Linked DNA regions of Saccharomyces cerevisiae S288C. The protein of the gene in region 2 binds, or shares a complex with, the protein of the main gene of each other region. Each region holds a gene or a part of one and is shown on either strand. Other genes may lie near its edges. The genes, in order: EMC4, EMC5 and EMC10.

What was found.
Region 1: EMC5 (region 2) and EMC4 share a complex: the UniProt entries of both Saccharomyces cerevisiae proteins name them as parts of the ER membrane protein complex.
Region 3: EMC5 (region 2) and EMC10 share a complex: the UniProt entries of both Saccharomyces cerevisiae proteins name them as parts of the ER membrane protein complex.

The regions. Positions count from the first base shown.
Region 1 is NC_001139.9:62,540-65,535, reverse strand, and holds EMC4 (chaperone EMC4), read left to right. Parts: upstream 1-1,915; coding exon 1,916-2,488; downstream 2,489-2,996. Other genes in the region: SAP4 (Sap4p), read left to right, coding at 1-1,033; YGL230C (uncharacterized protein), read left to right, coding at 1,321-1,764; TAN1 (putative tRNA acetyltransferase), read right to left, coding at 2,534-2,996. UniProt on the Saccharomyces cerevisiae protein: Part of the endoplasmic reticulum membrane protein complex (EMC) that enables the energy-independent insertion into endoplasmic reticulum membranes of newly synthesized membrane proteins.
Region 2 is NC_001141.2:303,086-305,993, reverse strand, and holds EMC5 (Emc5p), read left to right. Parts: upstream 1-1,889; coding exon 1,890-2,315; downstream 2,316-2,908. Other genes in the region: cohesin subunit IRR1, read left to right, coding at 1-1,517. UniProt on the Saccharomyces cerevisiae protein: Part of the endoplasmic reticulum membrane protein complex (EMC) that enables the energy-independent insertion into endoplasmic reticulum membranes of newly synthesized membrane proteins.
Region 3 is NC_001136.10:564,353-567,326, forward strand, and holds EMC10 (Emc10p), read right to left. Parts: upstream 1,289-2,974; coding exon 671-1,288; downstream 1-670. Other genes in the region: PST1 (Pst1p), read left to right, coding at 1-509; YOS9 (Yos9p), read left to right, coding at 1,575-2,974. UniProt on the Saccharomyces cerevisiae protein: Part of the endoplasmic reticulum membrane protein complex (EMC) that enables the energy-independent insertion into endoplasmic reticulum membranes of newly synthesized membrane proteins.

The DNA.
Region 1 (2,996 bases), on a different chromosome or scaffold from region 2:
CAGGGACACTCTTGATCAAAACTCACTAGAGAAAGCCATGAAAAATTTAAATATAAATGATAATACTATTACTTCCAATACATTAGAAGATAAATGTAATAATAATGATAGTAATGACAGTAATGACAACCAAAAACAAAAAAAAAATATTAAAAAAAAGTTTCATGATAATGAATTGTATTCTACTTTTGATACATCTGATGACAATATTGATGATGATGATGATATGAGTTTTGAAATTCCTTACGTCAGTGAAACGCAAAATTTGAAAATACGTAAAAACCCTACCATTGGAGATTTATTCAAAATTAAACTTCATGACCTTGGGTTTTTTCCAAAGTTTCTACAATTATTCTTAAGATATCCTTGGAATAACTTTTGGCACAACATTGTATTTGATATTATTCAGCAGATATTCAATGGTCGAATGGATTTTTCTTATAACTCATTTTTGGTCTATTCTTTGTTTGATTTCAAAAAGTCTACAAGATTTATCCCAAAACCTTTGTACGGCAGCAACCAAAAGTTACCTGTTAAAGACTTCCATATTATCTCTGATTTCATTTTACAAGGCCACAAGGATTCGTTTGAATTTTACGAAAAAGAGAAAACAAATTTAGGTTATATGGGTCAATTAGTATTAATTGCCGAAGAAATTGCGAAGTATTCCAAAATTTATAAGACCGATCTAATTGCTCCAGATATATATGCCTTCTTACAAGATGAAGTTTGGATGTCATATTCTAGTGACATCTTGAACGAAACAAGGACAATGTGTTCAATAATTCTTGGTGGAGGCCAGTTCTGTGCCGAAAGCGATGAAAATACTAACCAGGACTTTTTGGAAAAAGCTGATATGAGTAAACCAGCTCATCCATCCACAATGGATGAGAATGAAATTGTTCACGAGGAGGATGTTAAGTTGCATGATAAAGTTGCCGAGCTCATAGATGAATTGGGTCAATTAACCGAATTAGATATTCATGATAAAATTAAAGATGTTATTGTTGATCATCATTCCGACTTAAATTGATTAGGTTAAGTCGTCAAACCAATTTTGACTTTTTTTTTCCTACATTTTTAATATTTTGTTTCTCGTTTTGCCTTATTTAATTTTGTGACATGTAAAAATTACGAAGCCTATTGGGGGCCAATTGAAGTAAACTAAATATAACAATAGTCCTTTGTAGTTCAGGAATGTTCACCAACTATTCACCAAAAATTATTGTCTAGCTTACTTTCAATAACTTATAGCTATCTATACAAAAATAATCATATAACTAAAGTCAGGCCCAAACCAGGCAAAACAAAACCATAATAATGGGAATTATTACACTATCCGGCAATGTTCTACATTTATTGAAAGCCTACCCAAAAAAGGGCCTTGAAGAGGTTTCTCAACCAGAGCCTAATACAGCAAATGATTCCTCGACTGAATATAAAGGAAAAAGCAAGGATGATTTTCAAATGGTCGAAAAATCCAATACAGATGAGAGATACAATTTTACAAGAACGAAAAAATGGTTTTTATTGATGACCTCAGAATATTACAAACTAATGGAAAACAGACTTTTAATGTTTTGCATTATCGCTTGCTCTTTTATTTGTGCTATCCAATTTCTTTTCTTTATAATTTATTGGACCAACATTGTTCCACGGAAGACGCAAAGGGCAATAACTAACCTAAATTACGATTATTTAACAGCCCATCTAAAAGAGCAATGCGTTCCATATGCGAAAATTCTTGACCAATGTATTCTCTAGCAATCTCTGCTTTTGTACATTCGTAGTTTTTTCATGTTCCTTTCATAAATAATAAAAAAAGCGTATTCTTTTCTATATAAATAGAATGAAAAAAAGTTGAACATAATATCAGTTAAGGTTAAAATAAAGCCAAACGATATAAGCAACAGAAATGAGTGAACAGGAGCCTTACGAATGGGCTAAACACCTATTGGACACCAAGTATATCGAAAAATACAACATTCAGAACTCAAACACATTACCTTCACCACCAGGATTTGAAGGTAATTCCTCTAAAGGAAATGTTACAAGAAAACAACAAGATGCTACATCTCAAACTACTTCTTTGGCACAAAAAAACCAAATAACAGTATTACAAGTACAGAAGGCATGGCAAATTGCGTTACAACCAGCCAAATCTATTCCGATGAATATTTTTATGTCGTATATGTCCGGTACATCCTTACAAATCATTCCTATAATGACTGCCCTCATGCTACTCTCTGGACCCATTAAAGCAATATTTTCAACAAGGAGTGCATTCAAACCAGTGTTGGGTAATAAAGCAACACAAAGTCAAGTGCAAACTGCTATGTTCATGTATATCGTATTCCAAGGCGTCTTAATGTACATTGGATACAGGAAACTAAATTCAATGGGTCTCATTCCTAACGCTAAGGGTGATTGGCTACCCTGGGAACGAATTGCTCATTATAATAATGGATTACAATGGTTTTCCGATTGAGAGCGTATATACTTATATAAAATATCTATTCTGTTTCATATATGATTATTGTTTTACACTCTTATCTTCATCCTTTCGGAATTTCGATTCATAAAGCTGTTGAACGTTGTATTTACGATATTTGGTTTTATAATCCCCATCGACTACACACATTCCGATATTGCTCTTAAAACATTCCACTAGAATCAATTTATCATAGTTCTTCAAGTCCACAGTATGATTAAACTCAGAACCCTCTTTATTGACCAGCTTCACAACTTGATTAATGATGTCCATTCTTTCAATCGTATTGAAATTTCTTCTTGTCACTTCTACAGCAAATTTATAATTTTTTTTAACATTCGAAGGGTCATGAAAGTGTGGCCCAATAACCAAATTGGCCAACTTGATTAATTGCTCCATTTTTGCATTACAAGAGTACGTAATAGGTGTTAATTTCTGAACATATCTAGTACGTTTAACCATATTTTTGGGATCCGCTAAGTCTTTCATGATACTTAGCACAAAT
Region 2 (2,908 bases):
TTGACAGAAATAGCACTATTTTATATCTGAACGTATTCCACGGTCTGTGTGCAGGTGCCAACAACCCCAAAATCCAAACTAAGGACAGCGTTAAGGAAATAGTTTTGCCTTTATTCTACGATTTGTTGAATGCCGCATCCATCGAATCTGCTGATATTCTGTGTCCTCTCCTAGAGAGCTTTATCACATTTTCTCTGGATGATTGGATATCTATTGGATATGAAACTGAATTAAAAAAAATTACCGACAAAACTATTAAAGCATTTATGGATTCTACAATCGGGAATTCAAAAGTTGACATGAAGTACGATATATTTGCTAAATTCATTCACCATATCCATCATTTTGAAAAAAAGGAACTGCAGGAAAAATTTTTAAACCAGATAGCTACATTGAAAATTCATTTAAAAAAATTTCTACAGGAAAAAATGGATCCAAATAATTCTAGGGACGACTACAAAGATTTAACTTGTTCTTTGTACGAGCTCTACATCAATAAACTGACAATTCTTGGCAGGGATTACCCAATCGAGGTTGATGAAGAGTTGTTGCAACTGTTTTTGAACAATTTTGTTTCCCGTATCCCTATAATGTTTCAAGATTTTGATGATAGTACCGCTCAAGAAATAAACTTTAAAATGCTAGTGTTATTAGCCACATGGAATCTGGAAAAATGGAGAGAAATAATAGAGAAAGTAAGGGATTACGAGAATTCTATTTCAAAAGATCTTAGATCAGTTTGGAAACCAATTGCCGCTATAATAGGTCGTCTAAACACACTCGTTATTTCATTGGCGGCTACAAACGAAACATTTGAAAACATAAACAGCTTGTTTTACTTAAAATGGTCAGCTTGCACTTCATTAATGGATATAATCGTTGCAATAAAAATATTTGAGCTCAAATTGCCTGCAGACGCTACAACATGGAGATATAGTATGAGTGAACAATTTCCATTTTACCTTCACGATAATGCTTCCAAAGTGCTTTTGAAAATATTTTTATATTTGGAGAGTCTTTTCGCTAAGCAAGTTGACGTCCAATTAGAAAGGGTAGCAGATGAAGACGCCAACCTAAATGATTTGCCGGAAACCGGGTTTTTCGAGAATATTGAAACTGAATTCCTTTTATTCACAGTTAAATTGAAGGGACTAATGAAACTGAATATTTTAGATGAACGATTTGCTTCCCGTGTGGCACTAAACAAAGAAAAGCTTGGCCCGCTGTTCAAAAAAATCGTAGATGATACCATAATGGAAAATCCAGAACCTAATAAAAAGAACATACAGAAAGCAAAATCAAATCAAACACAGAGGGAAAAAGCGCCTTTACAACCCAACAGTGAACGAGAAACCGACCATGCAAATACTGAAAATAATGATCCAGATATTCCCATGACAATCGATCTAGAACCTATTGAAGAAAGTTCGCAAAATAATTCAGAGTTAGCACCAATTGAGGAACACCCAACCGTGGTAGATGCTATAGACAACAGCGACGAAATCACACAAGATTAAGGGAAAAGATATACGTCAGACTTATTGCTCTTTTGTAAAACAATAAGATCTATAATATATATCACATCTTTCTTTTGAACATACATAGCTTCGTTAGCAGTTTTTGATTAATCATAAATACTTCAAATATCCCTTCGCATTAGACTATACTCGCTGGATGATATTCGGCTATGTATTTTCCAAGCCCATTCAATCGTCATCAAAGCGCCCTTTGCTTCTTCGAAAACTCGCGATGTAAACGCAGCGCAGAAAAATCTACTTTTGAATATAAAATAAAGTCAACTCAGATAGTTGTTATGCATGTTAATTGTAGCATCTAAAAAGCGATCGTAATTAAGCCCTACCGAGATACAAAAAAGCAATTATCAAGAGATGTCGTTTGTTTCCAAGCTTCTCTATACAGTCTCTGCATTGGTGTTATTTCATTCTGGTTTCTCAAGCTATGAGTTTCATCACTTATTAAAACTTAACTCGCTTAATAATGCACAAGGTGCAATCAGCAAGTTACCTAAAGATATCATGTATGAAACGTATGCAGGATTGATACTCTTTGTTCTTGCAGTGTTCACTTCGTTCGAGAAATTACAATATTTACCAATTGAGAGTAACGATGGGAAGATAATATCCCAAGGAAACTATCTAAAAGAAATCGCATTAAATAAAGCCACCAACGTGGATAACTTGATAGGAAGTAACCCTAATGGTGAGATCATATTTACTCCAAGCTTTGTTGACGTTCATATGAAGAGAAAAATTTGCAGGGAATGGGCCTCTAACACTGTAAAAAAAGAAAAATAAATAAGATACTGAAAACTAGAGCTAGAACTTATAATTTCATACATATATACATATCAAGATCTAATAAGAGGATTAGCTAGATTTTGAGCATAAATTCGATAGCGAATCTACTCGAACATCGTAACTGCACAAAATAAGGCGTCAGGTGACCAGGCACCTCTTCTATTTACACCAACACAGACGCCTTTCATAGAGGAATAGAAAGCTATATTAGAATCACCAATAATGCAAGCGTCTCCTGTGTTCTATAACGTGAACCATAAGCTTGAGTGGTTTCAAAAGGATTACGGGGCGGATAGTATCTTTTGCGTCTTCGTTGGATAGTTTGTTATTAAGATACATAAATACACACTAAATTTAGTGGTAAAATCTTCTATTCAATATTATCGAGAGTCTCGGTTTGAGGGCTAACACTCTAATGGATAACCGTTCGGAATATTTCTATTCCAGTTTACATAGTATAAGTACGATATTCATCCTCATGTTAGCGTAAGTGGAACTTGTTCAAATCATCCTGAGGTACAGACAAGCCCTTATTGATGATTCATTCTGTTATTTCAGGAACAGGTAATAGTTCTCCACCACTTGAACGC
Region 3 (2,974 bases), on a different chromosome or scaffold from region 2:
TTGTCGTTGCTAACAACACTGGTTTACAAAAAATTGGTGGTCTCGACAACCTAACAACCATTGGCGGTACTTTGGAAGTTGTTGGTAACTTCACCTCCTTGAACCTAGACTCTTTGAAGTCTGTCAAGGGTGGCGCAGATGTCGAATCAAAGTCAAGCAATTTCTCCTGTAATGCTTTGAAAGCTTTGCAAAAGAAAGGGGGTATCAAGGGTGAATCTTTTGTCTGCAAAAATGGTGCATCATCCACATCTGTTAAACTATCGTCCACTTCCAAATCTCAATCAAGCCAAACTACTGCCAAGGTTTCCAAGTCATCTTCTAAGGCCGAGGAAAAGAAGTTCACTTCTGGCGATATCAAGGCTGCTGCTTCTGCCTCTAGTGTTTCTAGTTCTGGCGCTTCCAGCTCTAGCTCTAAGAGTTCCAAAGGCAATGCCGCTATCATGGCACCAATTGGCCAAACAACCCCTTTGGTCGGTCTTTTGACGGCAATCATCATGTCTATAATGTAATGGAATGAAGAAATATTCTTCATTTTTGATAACTAGTACCTGTCATTCACGACATGTGAACAAATAAAAACATTTATTTAAAAATTTTATGTATTCAAATATTTTCGGGAAAGAGATAAAAGTAACGACACTTAAAAATTTAAAAAATCACAATACTTTATTTACTCAGTCTTTTGATCAGCTCCGGCACCTCCTTGTTGTTGCTTCTTTGCTGAGCCCGCAACAAAATTGTAAATCAATAGGCCTAAAAGTAACATTTTCCAGTTCTTTTGAAACCAAGACACCTCCTTAACCTCTTCATCTTCTTCGAATTGTGCAGTGCTTCCATCCTTATTCTTACTAGCTTTTTTATCAGCATAAGTTTTGGTTTTCTTCTTTAATTTGGTGACTGGTGCAGTAGGTCCCGCTTCTGGATATCTGACTGTAGCAGTAATAGCATCGTTAGTCTCGTCATATGATAACGACACTTGTTTGACCTCATTATCTTCATCTACATCCACAATTAAATCGTATTTTAGTGGTGTCCTCAGCTTCATGTAGCTAAAACATGGCATATCCAGCTTACCTTCAATCTGGGCATTCAAACAGTATTCTCCAGAAACTTCAACATCCTGTATATTAACGGTTGTTACTGTAACATTCCCATCGGATGTACTATCAATCTCAAATGTTCCTAGGGGTATAGCGTCTTTCGCATCATCTGAATAGCTTAATTGTAAAATATCAGCACAGAAAACCATGCTGGCCAATAAAATCACACGCAACAGCCGCACAAGCATCTTTCCTTCAATGAGTATTGTACAGTTCTTGTTAGATAGTGTTGAATAGTACCACCTTGTTTTTTTACTCAAAGTGTCTTTTATATACTTCTAATTATTCCTATATTTGGTTGGGTTTTTAAGTTACCAATGCAAATACAGTGGTTAGAGACCCAGCGCACGTATGCAAAAAAATACAGCGGAAATTTCAAGTAAAAATGTAGCTTCATAAAAAAGAAGCAGATTCCCTAAAATAAGCAATAGATCTTCACATATATCGTTATCATCCCCTTTCTTCCCTGTTTCAATGCAAGCTAAAATTATATATGCTCTGAGCGCAATTTCTGCGTTGATTCCGTTAGGATCATCACTATTAGCACCTATAGAAGACCCCATAGTATCGAATAAGTACCTCATATCTTACATCGATGAGGACGACTGGAGTGATAGGATATTACAAAATCAGTCTGTCATGAACTCGGGATATATAGTGAATATGGGCGACGACCTTGAATGCTTTATTCAAAATGCAAGCACTCAATTGAATGATGTATTGGAAGACTCAAATGAGCATAGCAATAGTGAAAAGACAGCATTATTAACTAAAACCCTGAATCAAGGTGTTAAGACAATTTTCGATAAATTAAATGAACGGTGCATCTTCTACCAAGCCGGATTTTGGATTTACGAGTACTGTCCTGGCATAGAATTTGTTCAGTTCCATGGTAGAGTAAATACAAAAACTGGTGAAATAGTAAATCGAGATGAATCTTTGGTCTACCGCCTGGGAAAACCAAAAGCAAATGTAGAAGAGAGAGAATTTGAACTACTTTATGACGATGTAGGATATTACATCAGCGAAATTATAGGGTCAGGTGATATTTGCGATGTGACGGGGGCTGAAAGAATGGTTGAAATACAATATGTCTGTGGCGGCTCAAACTCTGGACCATCGACTATTCAATGGGTGAGAGAAACAAAAATTTGTGTTTATGAAGCCCAAGTTACCATACCTGAATTGTGCAATTTAGAATTACTAGCCAAAAATGAAGACCAAAAGAACGCCTCACCTATACTTTGCAGGATGCCCGCAAAATCAAAAATTGGTAGTAACTCTATTGATTTAATCACCAAATATGAACCGATTTTTTTAGGTTCTGGAATATACTTTCTAAGGCCCTTTAACACCGACGAAAGAGACAAATTAATGGTTACTGACAATGCCATGTCAAATTGGGATGAGATTACGGAAACATATTACCAGAAATTTGGAAATGCCATAAACAAAATGCTTAGTTTGAGATTAGTATCGTTACCTAATGGACATATTCTCCAGCCTGGTGACTCATGTGTTTGGTTGGCGGAAGTGGTTGATATGAAAGATCGGTTTCAAACCACTTTATCGTTGAACATACTTAATTCACAGAGAGCAGAGATATTTTTCAACAAGACGTTTACATTTAATGAAGATAATGGAAACTTCCTATCATACAAAATTGGGGATCATGGCGAGTCAACTGAACTTGGTCAAATAACCCACTCAAACAAAGCAGATATAAATACCGCAGAAATTCGGTCAGATGAATACTTAATTAACACTGATAATGAGCTATTCTTGAGGATTTCTAAGGAGATAGCAGAAGTGAAAGAATTATTAAACGAAATCGTAAGTCCACATGAAATGGAAGTAATATTTGAAAACATGAG